2 linked regions of the Drosophila melanogaster genome follow. The protein of the gene in region 1 purifies or fractionates together with the protein of each later gene. This does not show direct contact. Each region holds a gene or a part of one and is shown in the gene's direction. Other genes may lie near its edges.

What was found. The genes of interacting proteins can lie anywhere in the genome.
Region 2: the proteins of melt (region 1) and fmt purify together in Drosophila melanogaster (affinity purification with mass spectrometry, with the first as the bait; one large-scale study listed by BioGRID). This does not show direct contact.

What each region holds. Positions count from the first base shown.
Region 1 is NT_037436.4:7,131,026-7,138,980, forward strand, and holds the start of melt (melted), read left to right. Parts: upstream 1-3,490; 5' UTR 3,491-4,202; intron 4,203-7,200; exon of another isoform or gene 7,201-7,486; intron 7,487-7,955. Other genes in the region: Acbp3 (Acyl-CoA binding protein 3), read left to right, coding at 119-364; Acbp2 (Acyl-CoA binding protein 2), read left to right, coding at 1,641-1,652, 2,094-2,342. UniProt on the Drosophila melanogaster protein: Participates in fat metabolism regulation by recruiting FOXO and the TSC1-TSC2 complex to the cell membrane, which positively regulates TOR activity and negatively regulates the expression of FOXO target genes.
Region 2 is NT_037436.4:6,167,287-6,175,877, reverse strand, and holds fmt (fiery mountain), read left to right. Parts: upstream 1-1,997; 5' UTR 1,998-2,118; intron 2,119-2,341; 5' UTR 2,342-2,441; coding exon 2,442-2,501; intron 2,502-2,567; coding exon 2,568-2,767; intron 2,768-2,821; coding exon 2,822-3,146; intron 3,147-3,207; coding exon 3,208-3,521; intron 3,522-3,583; coding exon 3,584-3,722; intron 3,723-3,777; coding exon 3,778-3,896; intron 3,897-3,956; coding exon 3,957-4,530; intron 4,531-4,585; coding exon 4,586-4,650; intron 4,651-4,708; coding exon 4,709-5,761; intron 5,762-5,935; coding exon 5,936-6,077; 3' UTR 6,078-6,309; downstream 6,310-8,591. Other genes in the region: CG7376 (uncharacterized protein), read right to left, coding at 1-158, 224-1,380, 1,433-1,583.

The sequences.
Region 1 (7,955 bases):
TTTGGATATAACGTCAATTTAGTGAAAGATTGCATAAGAGGAAATTCCCATTTTTCACACTTTTATGGTGTTATATAAGTACAAAGTTTCCTGACTGCGACTTTCCTTTGCTGAACAGTTCGAGGAAGCCACTGAACTCGCCAACAAGTTCACCAAGAAGCCCACGGATGCCGAGTTCTTGGAATTCTACGGTCTCTTCAAGCAGGCCACCGTTGGCGATGTGAACATCGAGAAGCCCGGCGCTCTGGCTCTCAAGGACAAGGCCAAGTACGAGGCCTGGAGCTCCAACAAGGGTCTCTCCAAGGAGGCTGCCAAGGAGGCCTACGTAAAGGTGTACGAGAAGTACGCCCCCAAGTACGCCTAAGCCGGCAACCGATCAAATCCGATCCAATCCGATTCCGATTGCGGACCCCCCATGCACCTGCCATCACCACTATAGTACTTAGTTGGACAATAAAGATTACCAGATATATGAGCAATAATCAGGTGTTTGTCCGGCTGAGCGGCATTTTATTGGAGCTTTCGTGCATTATGGAACTAAAATGGAGATGGAGATTTGGGAGCGGTGGGACCCCTCGAACTTTGATCCGAACGAGATTACGTGTCTTGACAGTGGTGTTTGGTGGGGTGAATTATCAGGGAATCGAAATCGGAGCTGTTATCCGTAGGCCTGCATTATCAGCAACGCGAATGCCTAGCCCCACTTCAGCGAAAGCTTCCCGATCCACTGAGAATCGGAGTGGAGCTTAACCGCTCATTTTGCTCACTGGGGAGAAGCTTTCTCGTTGCGGGCGATCGTGCGATATGGAATGACTTAAATTGAAAGTCACCGCCGGATTGGAATTCAGACACTGTTTAGTTCTGTGGCAAACAACACACAACAGTAAGTGTTTAGTTTAAATTCAATTACCCAGCTGCTAATGGGTGGTAATATCAGTGCTGGTGACACATAAAGTGGACATTTCGTGCGAGTTTATACACCTGCAGAGCTCAATTATGGAAATTCGCCAGGCAACAGGCACTGATGAAAATATAGTACAAAAAATCGCTTTTGAAACGCATATTCTGGAACATGCTAAACGAAACTTGTCACCTTGACCTATTGCAATTTCCAACGCCCATAAACTAAATGAGTGCCTTTTAAATGATTACTTATTTTAGAACTGCAAGATGGCGTGGCCATAACTAAGCATGACCATATGTATGTGCCAGATATTTTGCTCAGTGCTAGACACGTACAAAGCCCACGTCCGTATCCAAATTGGTCGAAATTCGCCGGCCAATAGCGGCCGCTAACGGTTGCCCGCTCGCTCCCTTTCAAAAATCTCGCAGTCGAGACAAATATTTGCGTCTGCTGTTTCCGCAGCATAATTTCCCAGTTCTACTCGAATTATGTATTTCAGCCGGGAGAAAGTCGAACAAACATCTATCCATTAGCAAACATTCGTAGGGTCTTCAAGATCGCCCCCCGGGGCCAAAGGTCATTTCCAGCTGGCTCTGTTTGGCACACGCCAGCCTCTTCACTCGGAACTGGTTTTACTTATTATGCTAATAAACATTAAGCTGACCACTTCATAAACATGACTAATTAAACATTTTTTTTTACAATTCCACTACTTACAGATAAAATCTAACCCAGAATGGTTTCCGAGGTAAGTACTTTTCCCAAAAGATTATGCACTGATAGCAACAGTCTACCAACATTTAGGGCGCGATAGCCTTGCTGCTAATCACCTGTTCGATTACTATACACTGAGCGAAATCTATTCATAAGCGATTGACTTTTCAATCTTAAAATTGTAATCGTAATATGAGATAAGATTGTGTTTCCGCTGAAGCAAGGACAGCTGTTCAAATACGATTTTGTTTTGAAGTAATAACCGTTTTCGGTTGAAATCGATAATTATAATTTTTTGTAGTTTCCAGAGAATATTTTTATCTCGCACAACTATTTTTGTTAGTTTTAATGACAGTTTGTTAGTAGATATTGTTGCAACTAATATTCCAAACCTTTTTTATAATACCACTTTCAATAGATTTTACGATCCCACTTGATAGATTTTCCACTAATAAATCATCCCGTCTATCTTCAGCAATTCAACGCCGCCGCCGAGAAGGTGAAGAGCCTGACCAAGCGTCCCAGTGATGACGAGTTCCTGCAGCTGTACGCCCTGTTCAAGCAGGCCAGCGTTGGTGACAACGACACCGCCAAGCCGGGTCTCCTGGACCTGAAGGGCAAGGCCAAGTGGGAGGCCTGGAACAAGCAGAAGGGCAAGAGCAGCGAGGCCGCCCAGCAGGAGTACATCACCTTTGTGGAGGGCCTGGTGGCCAAGTATGCCTAAAAACCCAATCCCAGCAATTAGCGATCTTAAACCAGCTAGAGACTATTGTAATGTTACCTTTAATGCGGAATAAACTTCGTATGTTAATTTTGTACTAAAAGATATTGACCCGGTGACTCAAGAGGTGCATACGCCTGGCCTGGGGCTATTTAACTGGCAAATAGAGGAAGTGGCTGGCTGCACCGCTTTGCAGTACTTTGAACCGCCAGTGGCGCTTGTTAGCGGTGCATCGTTAATGGATCTTCGAGTGTGTTTGTCCAAACCGCGCTTCGAACGGGGTTCAAAGTCGAGGGGAAGATTTCCTAAAACTTCGACCTTGAGCCATCCATCTATCCTGTTTGACGTACGTAGTTTAACTTAACGAAAAGCTTTAGATAATTGGCCACGATTTTTCACGAATTAAGTTGGGTTTGTTTAAATGCAATCGCAACATCATCTGCCGATAGCAACATGTTGCTAGTGGCCAGTTGCTAAATCGTGCGCAACAGGTGAATCAGCAACATCGCAACAGCAAAGAAAAGGAAGCAGACACAAGAAGCAGCCTCTACATCTACATTTACATTTACATCTACAGCCACCGCAATAACAATAACATTGTTTTTTGTTTATGAATGAAAAGCGCAAAGGCAAAACAGCGATAAACTGGTGTGCGGCTAAGAAGACCAGCAAACTGGGGTAACAAAGAGGAGCCGACTAGGACACACCCTGGAAAAGTGTATTCAACGGATATTCAACAGATTTGTAGGCCATTAAATTAAGATTTCAATTAAATAAATTATCACAGTTTACAAATTTTTGTTTTCTTATTATTTGAAGGTGTCAAACCTTCTATGATTTTTAATCACTTCATATGTGTGATTCCTGTTTTGCAACCGGAAGTGGATTAAATGATTTCACTGCACACTTTTAGGCGCTCAAGAAAAATTCCGACCTCTACAAGTTTTCGATATAGAATGTTGAGTTAAAAAATCACAGTTGCCTTGAAAACCGATACACCTGTTCTGCGAAACGGTAGCAAAGGTGCTGAGAGAGAGTCCAGAGAGTGATAGAGAGAGCCAAGAGAGAGCGATCGTGCAAAACAAACAGGCAACAACAACAGGCACACCGACCACCACACCAGTCTCGGCCATTCCGAAAAATAACTCAGTTCAGTCTTCATTCGGGCCCAAACGCGTTCGCTTGGCCAGCGGCTCGTATCCGTCGCTTTCTTCGCCTATCGGTGTGTGCGTGCGCCTGCCTACGTGTGTGCCTGTGCATGCGAGTGTGTGTGTTAACAAAATGTGATTAGCAAAAATACAAAGAAATCAGGCATAGTGGAACAAGGCATTGTGGCTGAAACAACAGTCGGCGGCAGTAACAGTCGACACTAAAAAACAACAAAATATACACATATACATATATTAATAATAGTACATACGAAACATATCTTTTGAGATATACACGAAATGCGAAAATTTGCATAAAAAGCAATGCGCTGGCGCGGCAACAAAGCGCGGCCGTAAAAAAATAAGTAACGCCAACGACAATTCTGAATTTTGTGCTTTATCGGCAGCAGCAGCAACAATTAAATTAATATTGAACTACACCCAAAGTTAACAAAAGTAGCAGCCATAAAAAAAATACAACACCACAGCCGCAACAACAATAGCGGCAGCAGCAACAACCACAAACGTTGTCTACCTTTTTTACCTTTTCAAGTCTGTTGATTTTTTTTTTTTGGATTTTGTGTTGCTGCTGCAAGAGCGATGTATTGAGAGAGCGGCTTAGCTCCGAATCGGAAACCGACTCCGAATTCGAGGCCCACACTTCGAAGTGATACGGACTGGTCATCTGTCTGCCAGCAGCCGCAGATGCAATTCGGTGAGTTTCGCCCATTCACCGTTGCCGCATTCAAATTCGCAGACCGAAAGATACAATTTGAAATTGCCTCGATTGGATTGCGAGTTAAAACTTCGTTCGTTAGCCACTTACTTTATATGGGGTTTAGTGCTCTTTAAACATAATCAAAGCAATAATATGAAATTCGACAAATCAAACAGTGATAGGTTTTTTAAAAGTGTAACATTTATCTAATCGTGAGTGACTAAAGTTTGACCTTACAAACTTAATAATAAAGTATAATGTTATGCTTTTGCTATCTCCGCGTATGTTAATAATGTATGCATTTATAATTCATATATTAAATTCGAAACTAAATTCTCAACTTAAGTTTAATCTTAGACTTTTCAGAAGAGAGCTTATAGCTTTAAAGCAGAGTTAATAATACCACAAGATCAGTGTTATTCGCTAAATTCAAACGATTTTATGCCGCAATTTCACCAGATATTTCAATAAAAAGTTGCCCAGGTAGCCAGAAATCCAGAAAATCTCCGATCGCAGACTCCGCCAATCCCATTAAAATGTGCCAAAATGTGAGCGTTAGTATCTGTGGCGATATTTGTATATATTCCCGTGTGCCCGCTTCTTGTTGTTGGGCTAATTCGCAGCAATTTCTTCGTTCGCGGCCTTTTCATTAATAAGTTTCACGCGCCGCTCATTTTTCAACATACTCGCACTCCTGTCCCCGGAATCACCTCGTCTGCGGATCGGATTACCGTGTTGATGTTGTCTTTACTTTTCGCAGTCCCCAAATACTTGGCAAGGGGGGAAGGTAAAGGAGAAGCGGTACGAATAAATTATAATTTTTTGCTAATTCGTACATGTAGGTAGTTTTCGGCTTTCGGTGGGGTAGATAACATAATTTACCTGGTGATGCAATACACTTAAATATGAATTGGCTAAGAACGTATAAGTTTGATTTTAAATGCATACTGATTTTGAATAAATGTTGTCGAACATGATCGTCTCTCTATTTAACTCATGGATCGATCAAAACAGCTGACTTGGCAATTCAGTTTTGCTTATAAGAGATCTACATTGTGAAACTGATATTAAATGCATGCAATTGAAAAGATACATACTTCGCTCATTGTTGAGATAGTTCCCACACAAGAGCCTTACTACTACTCAACCTTAACCAATAGTTATTGATGACATTTGCAACCCAGATTTCAAATTGACTAGATAAATATATTTCCAATCGGAGGCATCCCAGTCAGCCAAACCCAACCCACCACCAGGTAGTCAGAAACCAAAACAGACGCAAAAACGGATTGTGCGATCGGAGTTAGAGGAAAACGAGTTTTCCAGCGACATCGACTAATACTAGTTATGTATGTTTTGCGACTATAAGCCGCCAAAAACTCCTTTTTCCCCCGAGGCGCCTTGCAGACTTTGAACCGACGTGTAATTGCAGTCGCAAGTTGCAAGTTGCAGGTTGCAAGTTGCCAGTGGCCAGCGACTAGTGGCTGGCAGTCGAGACACTTGACGCTCCTCGGGCCACATTGGATTGTCCAGGTATGACAATGGAATGCACAAACAAGAACCAAACACTTGCCAAGCACGCAATGCGACTCGGTTTCGGAAAAGCTCGGAATGCTCGCTGGATCAGAATACGTATACGTCCAGTGTGACGGTTATGTGAGCCGGCTGCCCGGTTCGCGGAAACTCCCAACAAGGAGATCCACGAAGGCCGTGCCACTTGGTCGGCTAGTCCAGCCCTGGCCAACAGGTAGGGTTACTCATAGCGAGGCATCTCTGTATCTGTGTCGCCATCTGGGAATTGAGTCATTCGCACGCTCTTCGAAAAGCACAGACAGACTTCTGTAAGTCGAACTGTGATCTTGTCACGTTCAAGATCTACAAATTGCGTGCATATCTTTTTCACTCCGAATATTCACGAACTTTGCGTCATCGAGTATATTCAAATATCACCCCGTGAGCCGCCTAGTCCTAGAAGTCTTATTGTGGGTTTAACAAATTCTTCAAAAATACTGATTCAAAATACATTTCATTACCTAAAATGGATTGTAGTTTCAAAACATATACATTTCGTGATTTTGAAATGCTTAAAGCTTGAGTAATCACAATAATTGACCCAAATTGCTGTCCAAGAGTCCAAGAAGTTCGACTGTAATAGAAAGGCTTGACGAACTAAGATATTTAGTGGCTGGCTTTATTCCGTTCCTGAACTCTGCCATTTTGTGGAGCAATGCAAATAGAATCTAAGCGAAGAGTTATGGGGCCCCGAATTTTGGCACAGCCTTTGTTTCCACTCTGTCTCCGAAATCTGGAGACCATGCCCTCCTCTAAACCTCCCCCCCCCTGCGATCTTGGGCCCGGGGCTTCGTGTGTATTAACCTGCCGCACCGGTTTCGGTTTATGTTTTAGCCAACGCCATCATCCATTACTTATACCCGAGCTCGAACCCCTTTTTTCATACATATGTGTGTTTCTATTTCTCTTTTAATTTTCTCTCGGGCGCTCAAAGTTGCTGCTGCTGCTGCTGCTGCCGCTGCTGTTGCTGCGACTTGTTGCTGCTTCTTTATTTATTTTTTAACCAGTTTTTCTGTTTGTTGTTGGTGCTGCAACCTGAGCGCGAATGAGCCATAAATAACAACAACCACAGCAGCCCAGTCGCTGTCTTCTGTCCCGATTTCCAGGAAGCAAATGTCTGTCCGTCCGTCCGTCCGCTTGTCGGCTTGTCCGCCCGTCGAGAGGCCCGAACCCAAACCCAAAGCAACCCGTCCCGTCTGCAATTCGCGTGCAGAGCCGCTTTGCCCGCCTGACTGGCCTCTATGGATTATGCAACTCTTGGTTTTGGTTTTTAGTTTTCGGTTTTCGGCTTTCAGTTTTCAGTTTTTATTTGAAAATTTAATAACCCAGGCGCGTTGGCGTTAGCGTCTGCTTCCTTGATGGCGCGACAGCCGCGCGAAATGACTTTTCTGCCAGCTCTTTTCATTTCATGTTTTTTTTTTAGCGCCCACGGATTTGGCCAGCCAGCAAATTCCCGGCTGATCCGCTAAGTCGCGTCTAATCCCTTGCCGGAATTTTGCTCATCTAATCAAAAGACCTGCATTCCACGAAGGTCCAAAGAACTCGACGGCAAGTTGGCCAAGAATTTACCGGTGCTATCAGCGGAACCAACAAGCGGCCAACTGCAAGTGGGCAAACACAAATAGCGTTTGCGGGAAACCCCACGGAAAACAGAGCCGCCGAATCATTTTCGCAGAATTTCTGGCCGGCCATACGGTGCAGATTCTTGGGTAAACAAACTAGCTTGTGCAATTAATGTGGGCCAATCATGGACTCAATGCGTATTAGTTGAAGGTTCCATAAAGATAATTGACCCAAATTTGTTTGCCATAAAGATAGTTGTTTTAGCTAGTATATTTCGCTTGGATTTCCGATATCACAAGTTCTCTGGCTGGGCTGCATACATACTCGTATAACATGAAATATACATTCCATCAGAGGCTGAGCAAGGGCAATTCTGCCTGAGAGTATCTTAGATAAACATCGAGGCAGTGCAACAAGTATTTGGTGTCCGCGGAATATCTATATTTATACAACTACAGCAACTTATATATGCACTTTCGGGACAATCGAGAATAGAACTGCTCTGGAGCAACAAGTAAATATTTTGGCGAAACCTCTATACAAATGCCCGGCGATAAGATAAAAAGTGGCTGCCAGAGGCGCCTGAACTTTGGCAATGGGCCAATTCCAAACATG
Region 2 (8,591 bases), 960 kb from region 1:
ACGGTTTGCCAAGCATCCGGTGGCCTACAGACTTCGGGCCGGCCCACGAACTCCAACAAAGGCGGCAATTCATCAATTGTGCCAGTAACAGCCCAACGATTAATGGCCGGCAGCATTCTAACCATCTCGGCAGCTGCTGAAGTGCTGCTCTCGACCATCTGGATGTGGGTAGTTTGGAAAATATTCAGTGGGCCGTGGATACAAAAGTAAAAAATTCTCTTACCTGTGCCTCATCCAAGCAAACGCGCCACCAGTTTACCATTAAAAGTGGAGAGTTGGGACGCATGTACCTTTGTTGGTGGCGCATCTGGCGGTCCGACTTAAAGTCCGTCGTATGGTATATTTCGTTACGCAGAATCGTATAGTCGGTAAGGACGACATCGTACTGGGCCAGATCGAAAGGACTAACCCAGAAGGTTGAGTGTAGGCCGAAATAAAGGAGCACCTTAAGCGATGGCGATATATGCTTGTGTATCTCTTCGAACCACTGCATCTTGATGGCGTTCGGAGATACAATGATGGTAGCGCCGCTCTCAACAAGCCTTTCGCCAGACTTTACCAATTCGGACCAGCAGCTGGGACACAGGTGGGGTAAGTCTGATTTTTCTGAAATAGTCATGCACATTTCGTGTTGCCACCGACGGCATTTGGTGCACTGCACTCGTTTACCGTGTTTCTTGGTGCAGATGCAGAAAACCTCGTCTTTTTTACTTATACGTGACCGCTTTAATGGCACTTCATCGGAAAACTCCTCGAGGCGTTGGTGCCAGTAATCGTTTCGGTAGGAGTCTTGTGGGCGCGGATTCATCAGCAGCATGGCCAGGAACTCCACGGTCTTGCCCAGGCCCATCTCGTCGGCCAGAATGCCACCCGGCGGCAACGAGATTTTGGGAATCTCCTCCTCGAAAGGATAAAATTGTAAGCAGTATTTATGCTTAAAGACGCGAGTTATACCATCAATGGCATGGAGCACTATGAAGTTGGCCGGCACTTGAGTTATCTGCTGCTCCCGCCCCAGCATCCAAGATACTGTGCGCTGCTGGTACTTGCGTAGCTGAGATTGAAATCTTTTCGGCAGGTCTAGCGAACGTTCCTGTTCAACATGAACGGTCTGGCGGTGCTTTTCGTAGAGGGCGTCGTACAACTTGGTGGTTACATATGTTTTTAAGGGACGCTTGTGCTCCTTCTCCTGCTGGGCCACCTCGAACTCGAGACTGCCTCTGAAGTCTTTAAAGAAAAGGGGCAGAACTTGTTCTCCCACTTCCATCTCGATCTCACGTGCTCGAACATGCGTCTGTTCATGGCTTAGCACCAGGATGCAGGAGCCCGACTCCTGCCGAATGGATCTGAACTTCAGCTTTCTCGTCCGAGCATTCTGGCCTGAAATATTTTCTTATTAATAAGTGCAATTATAGTACGTTAGCCTACACACATTTTTCAATACAAATCAAAATCTCCTCTTTATGCTCAACGAGATTATCTTTGAACACCCATCGCTTCTTTCCGTAGCGGAACTCCGTTGGATCCTCGGGACTTTCTGGAGGTACTTCATCAGCAATTTCGCACAAAACAACGCCATCCATTGTTATTTGCGAAATAACAATTCGGACAAACAAATGTGCGATGACCGCCAATTCGATATACGATAACAGAAAAATCTATATCGGACACCAAATGACACACCTCCACAGCTTAAATTTAACGATTGCAACAGGGGAATCTTTATGTTCTCTAGAAAGCAAAACATTTTCGGTAAGTTATCAAATAGCAACTCAGGCAAAAATGAAAAGAAAGAAAACCATTTAAAAAGAAAACCAATTAAAGAAATATATTTATAATAAAGAACTGTATTTAAATCATAAAACATAATTGTATGTAGTTTAGTTTCTACAATATGTGCAGCGGTTATCGTGTGAACAAGTTGAAAAATGACAATCGATAACCGATTGTGTGAGGACACGGTCGATCGGCCGCATATATCACACTGAGTTAATATACCCTGTAATCGAATATTGTCCACCTCTACGAAGCAGTGAAGAAAATTATAGCGTGGTTTTTTCGGTTGAAAACCAATCAAAAGTGCAACAAACAGTGAGCAAAACAAAGTCCAGCCAACTCGTAAGTGTGCGCCCAAGCATCCCGCAACCCTTGCAATCTCAAACGACCGGCATACAACCATTTTTCGACCCGCATTCGTAGTGTATATGTGGAGCCTGCTTGGCATAATTACAAAAATTTACGCATTACTTTGTGAGAGCCGAGTGTTGAGCTGAGTCTAGTCTGTGTTCAGTGTATTAATTGCGCTATTCCGCTTATCCAAATCTCCAATCCCGTCCCGCAGAGCCGTGCATGCCAAGTCATCAGCGTTCCGCGAGTCCAGCGAAGATTGATCTTGTTTCCCCCAGACTGAAAGTGTCACCGCCAAGACGTACGTGCGAAAAATGTTTTGGGACAAGGGTTATGCGCCCTCCGCGAATATAGAGGCGCTGCTCGAGAAGGAGGTAGGTTGACTCGATCCGTGCTGATCAAGTGGAAATGTCTCAGTTACGCGTCGTCGCCATTCGCAGAACTCCACACTGGAGGAATTTCTGGACGAGGAGGACATACTGCAGGAGTGCAAGACGCAAAAGAAGAACCTGGTCAACTACTTTACACGTCCCGAGGTCATACGGCGTCTGGTGGAGCTGATCACGACCGAGCCCTCTGAAGATGTGCCCATGTCGAAGCGTTTCCGCTATGCCAACATGTCCTGTGAGATACTCACACTGTAAGAATTGAATGCCCGTTGCCATCCAGAATTCTATAGCCCATGCCATTTTAGCGGCCTGCCGTCCCTGGATGAGAAGCTACTGAACGACGCGGAGACGCTGCAGCTGCTGTATTCATATCTGGAAAAGGAACCACCGTTAAATCCATTGCTATCGTCGTTTTTTAGCAAAACGTTTAGCATGCTCTTTACCAAAAAGCCTGAACAAGATTGGTTTTTGTATCAACACATGTGCCTACAACTCCTGGAGTATATTAAATCGCAGAAGACCTTTTTGGATTTCATTTGTAAACACTTTGACACACCGGTCATACCTGATCTAATAATGCAGATGATGAAGGACATCGAGGGTGGGCGACTTAAGCGGAACCTTTTCGAAGTAAGTCCATTAGAGAGTTTTGCCTAGGCATACGAATCTTATCGAATATTTCTTTTAACAGTGGCTAACTGAAGATAAAATTGTTGAGAGACTGATTGCAATATTGCGTAATCCTCAAGAAACCGACAAACATGCAAATGTTGCCGACTTTTTCTGTGATCTTATTAACCAAGGGCGTCTAATGCGCCAGACCGAGCAGGAGAACGATTCGTTTGAGCCGGCCTTCGATGGATCCAACCCCATTCTGAAGACGATCGAATTTGCGGACACAATTGAAGCCTTGTTAAATGTGATTTTGGAACCAAACGCTCAGGAGAGCGCCATCTTATCAGGAATATCGGTTGTACTTACGCTAATCAAGCCAATTACCTTCACGTAAGTTATGCTGCCAGTGAATTTGTCACCTTATTCTAATTGATTTACATTTTTTCCTGTAGAGATGAGCCCAACTCGGATCGCCAGCGGTTGTTGCAAAAGCGCGAACGCGAAATCCACCAGGAAGTCCAGGAGACTGTGATCACTGTGATGGCGCCACGCCTCCAGGAATTTGTCCACATACTGAAAAACCCGCCTGCGGTTAGCATGAAACTTTTTGTCACAAAGAACCAGCTGTTTATCTTTTGACTTGTAGAAACCCACACTAGAAACCACGGCCGCCGTGTTAACGCCCCCATTTGGAAAGACTCGACTGCAAGTTTGTCGCGTGTTCACCGCTCTGCTGGAGACCAAGCATGAGACTATTCAGCAGGCGTAAGTCACTGCTTTATAGAAAGGAGAACTTTTAATAAATAATAACTTTTTATACTTTAGAATCTGCGCGACTGAGTACTTCAGCCTGTTGCTGGACTTTTTCAAGCAGTACTGCTGGAACAACTTCCTGCACACAGAAATGGAGAAGGCACTGTACGTGGTCTTTTACAACGAGCTGTCCAACAACAACACTGCATCCACGGAGGTCACGGATTACTTCACTGCAGACTGCCTGATCAATGCCTTTTTGAAGGTGGGCACGGAGGAGTCCGAAGTCGAGATGAAGAACGCTCTTAACGATGCGAAGCGCGCGGAAGGTGGCAAGGATGAGGAAGGGGGCGACATCGAAATCGAAGTGGCAGCTGCGCAGGAAGTGGCTGCCCAGACGCCCGATGAGCGACAGACAGCCGCAGAAGAAAACCAAGAGCATGAAGAACATATGAGCCAAGTGGAAGCCGCAGCTGAAGCAACAGCTTCTGAGGACGCCGAACCCAAAGCCCAGGATAATGAAGTGAAAAATAGTGAGGTGGATGGTGAATCTCCAACAGATCAGCAAGAATCGGAGGCAACGCTCAATGATCTCGACAAGACCAAGACCGTTCCGAGCCCTCCGCCTTCTGAAATGCAATCACATGTAAGTCTTAGTTGACTTTTGTACCCAACTAAACTTAATTCTCGCTGATTTGCAGTTAATTGTAAACTGTCATCTGATATCCAAACTGGTCGACTTGTGGCAGCACAATGCGCAGGCGCAGTAAGTACTTCAATTGACTAATTATCAGTCTGGCACATAACAAATGTTCTTTTTTTAGATCTGCTGAGAAGGGTCGACGTTTGGGCTATATGGGCCACCTTATTAAAATTCTTCGTCACATTACGAATTGTATATCAGAATCTGAACATATCGGTGATCTGATCACCAGCAGCCTAAGTGATGAAGATGAGGTTAAGCTGTGGCAATCGTTGATCGATGCGGAAACTGGCGAGTTTTCGCTGGCGGTTAAACAGCAGACCAAGCTCCTGGCCGACTGCAATCCTCACGAGGAGAATCAGTACAATGATGGATCCAATGACTATACTGGCGAGATAAATGCGTGGAACGTTGGTAATCTGCCGTACAGAGAAGTGGATTGTAGTGAGCTGAATAACACGTTGCAAGACATCTTCTTTGCCATAGATCAGAATCGGTTCCAGTTTGGTCGAAACATTGACGACGAAGATGATGACGATGATGAGCATGGCGACCATTCAGGCGGTGGTGATGGCCACGGGCACGGCATGTTCACCAAAAATTCGAACACGCTGAACAACTTGGCTGACCCTTGGGACATCCAGTTTGCCGTGCTTTCCAGCGCGCCTACGCAGGTTAACACGGGCACTGCCAACTGGGGCACGGATTTCAATTCGGATAACTTTGCTGATTTCGATGCGCACTTTAGCACATTTGGCAGCGATCTTGGTATGCCCATAAGTGCGCCGCCAGGTGAAGAGGAAGAGGAGGACTCTTCCCCAGCGCCGGAATCCGCCACACAGGTGAACCCAGAAGAGGAGCGCCAACCCGCTGAATCTATTGGCCTCGCTGTGGGCAAGGGCGTTCAGGATAATCTAGCGTGTACCGACGATCAGCAGGCTGAGTACGACAATAATGCCAACGTGGAGAAGGCCATCAGCGATAAGCTGGCCGAGTCGAGCGTGGTGGAGACTGCAGCAATTGTTACTCGATTGCAATCCGTACTGCTGGACGGCGAGGATGATTATGAGGACGATGAGGGAATGTGGACCAAGCCACTGGGTGCGGATCGTCCTTCGGAGACCGAGCAAATTACTCCCATTTCAAATGGACCAGACAGCAAAGTGAATGAATTGTAAGTTAACCCTTTTGCACGTGGGTATGTAAATATGTATATATGAAATGTTTATACTTTTAATCTATTTAAAATGCCAAACAAGTTTACACCTATGCAATGTATTGGTTTGTAGCTCAATTTTTTGTTTTACCATTTATTACTTAAATACATTGCACTTGTAATTAAAACCAGGGGTTTACCTTTCAGCAATCATGCCAACGATATCAGCAGTAACAACGTGGATGGCCACGAAGCCAACATCACAACGGAGCAGCAGAAATTGGCCGCTGCCGCCAAGACGAACAATGTTGAAATTGCAACTACGACCACATAAATGCACTTCCTCACCACACCATACATCATTCAAGCGATATTGTGTCGACGAGAAATTGTAAAAACGCCTTTGATTTGCTCTTTGGTCATTATCATGCATACATATTTATATAAATATATACCACATACTACTACTATACGTACATATATAACAGGCTGCATAGTACAACAAAAGATTTGTGTATTAGCAAAAGGCCGAAACCCGCCCAAAACCAAAATGCAAATTATCAAACAAAAAAAAAAAAAAAAAAAAAAAAAAAAAAAAAAAATAGCATCAAAAAAATATCAAAAAGCTAAAAAAAAATATTCACAGTAAAAAGTGTATTGTTGATTCCTTCTGCTCCTCGCTCGTATTGCCAATTATTTTAATTATTACACTTTCTTCATGTTTCCTAATTAAGAAAACTGTATTTTGTTTGTAATATGTATTAGTCTGTCGATTTAGTACGCTTTTACTTTCAATACTCTCAATGTGTTAGGCAACCTATGAGCATTACTTAAAGTACCAAAATTCACGCAACGTTTAGAATGCTTAGTTTATATTTGTATTGTATTCGTTTTAGCTCGATCAGATGAGGATTATCTATCTATTCATATGATATATGTATGTATATACATATATATATATATATATATATATATATACACTTTTGGAGCTGTCAGTAAATTACGTTATCGCAAAGTCGTACGTTATCGTCCTCCTATTGTGGGGAATCCCCTCCAATTAGTGGTGACGTAATATATGGACAACTCCGCACTTATACTTGTATTGTTAAATTGGAGACTTGTATTTATTGTATGTATTTTGAAATCGAAAGCAAAAGCAATGCCAAAATACCAACACGTTCAACACCACATACCCATATGCTGCAAGCACAAACATACGCATTATGTATTAGAGAGGTATATGATTATATACTTCTGTCTTTTGCCATTATTACCTTGTTTGTATACAAATCGGTTTAAATAACAAAACATATTCTTTGTCGAAAGTACAAAAACAATGAAAAACAAACCACAAAAGAAGAAGGATAATAAACATAACGAAAGGACAACACTCGGCATTTGTCACCAAATGAATGATCTACACCCCCGATCTATACACCCTAACTATGCGTAAATACAATTACCAGACCAAACCAAACGAAATGAGAAATTCAAAAGAAGACTTTCCAAGAAGACATTTTAAATTTACATTTAAATATTTTGTGTATTGTGTTAATTGCGCTGTTCAAGTTATCGCTGAAAAATGTTTGTGTTTTAAACGTGCAGAGAACCACGAACAAAACGCTGAAAAAAATATTAAGGAGAAGTTAAACAAATATGCCATCATTTGCTTCCAAATAATTACGTTTAAATTATGATAAAAAATAAAACAGAAACTACTTTAAAAGTAAAATCGATGTTTGTTTTACACAAGACGACTTGCTCACCAAAAAAAAAAAAGAAACAAACAAAAGTTAGACACCTAGAGTAGGTATAATATAAGATTATCGAGAAAAGAGCGGGCAGCATATCAGGCATAGATGTGTGGAAGATCATTAATAACCAAACCCCTCCCCACACATCCTAGGCAAAAGCAAAGTAATCCTTATTTGCCGATTAAAATAAAATGCTTAGTTATAGAACTCAAGTTTGCACAAATTTCAACTCGCTTGCTTTTTACTTGCATACTGTAGCAACACAAAATGTGAACGAACAACCAAGAAAATGAAATAACAGAAATATGAATTAAAAGAAGAAATATTGAAACATTTAAACTATCTCTGATGAAAAACTGTGATAATTAAATGAAGTTGCAGGGTATTTGATAAAGCAAACTTAATTTAAACAAATTATGAAACATCAACTAATGGCCTCCACCATTTGGGAAATACAAAAGAACACAGCCAACACGAGACACTCTGAACAAGTTAATTATACGATTCTTTAGCATCACAATCAGCAGGACACCTCGACAACCAAACAGCAATAACTACTGCAATGAAATCTAATTGAAGGAGTTTTAACGTGTAGTCTGTAACAGTGCGAAAGTATCTCTAAGTTCGAGCTAGTATAGGGATGGTCAAGGATCGCGGCTATTAGTTCTCTAGCTTCTAACCAACTAAGCACTAAACTAAAGTTTAACTTAACCTAAATACTCATATCAAGCAGCCAATTGTAAACCATGTACTGTACATACATACAATTGTCCCCAGTATTGTCTTCCCCCTAGTTATGCGTTTTCGTTTACCCTTTCGTTTCAACCAACTTAGTATCCGGAATATCCAACGATATAGACGACGATGATCGAGTCCTTCCCTTGTGCATATGCCTTACTGAAAACTATAAAAAAAAGAAACACTCAAAAAAAGAGAAAAATCACAGACCTAGAAAACCATTTAGAGAGTGGTAGTATCCGTAATCCTAGAGTTAGTTTCATCTACATACTGTGTGTCTTTTAAATGTTAAGCAGCTGCAGCAAGCTTAATATATATACGAATACGAATAAAAACCAAACAAGAAATATAATTAT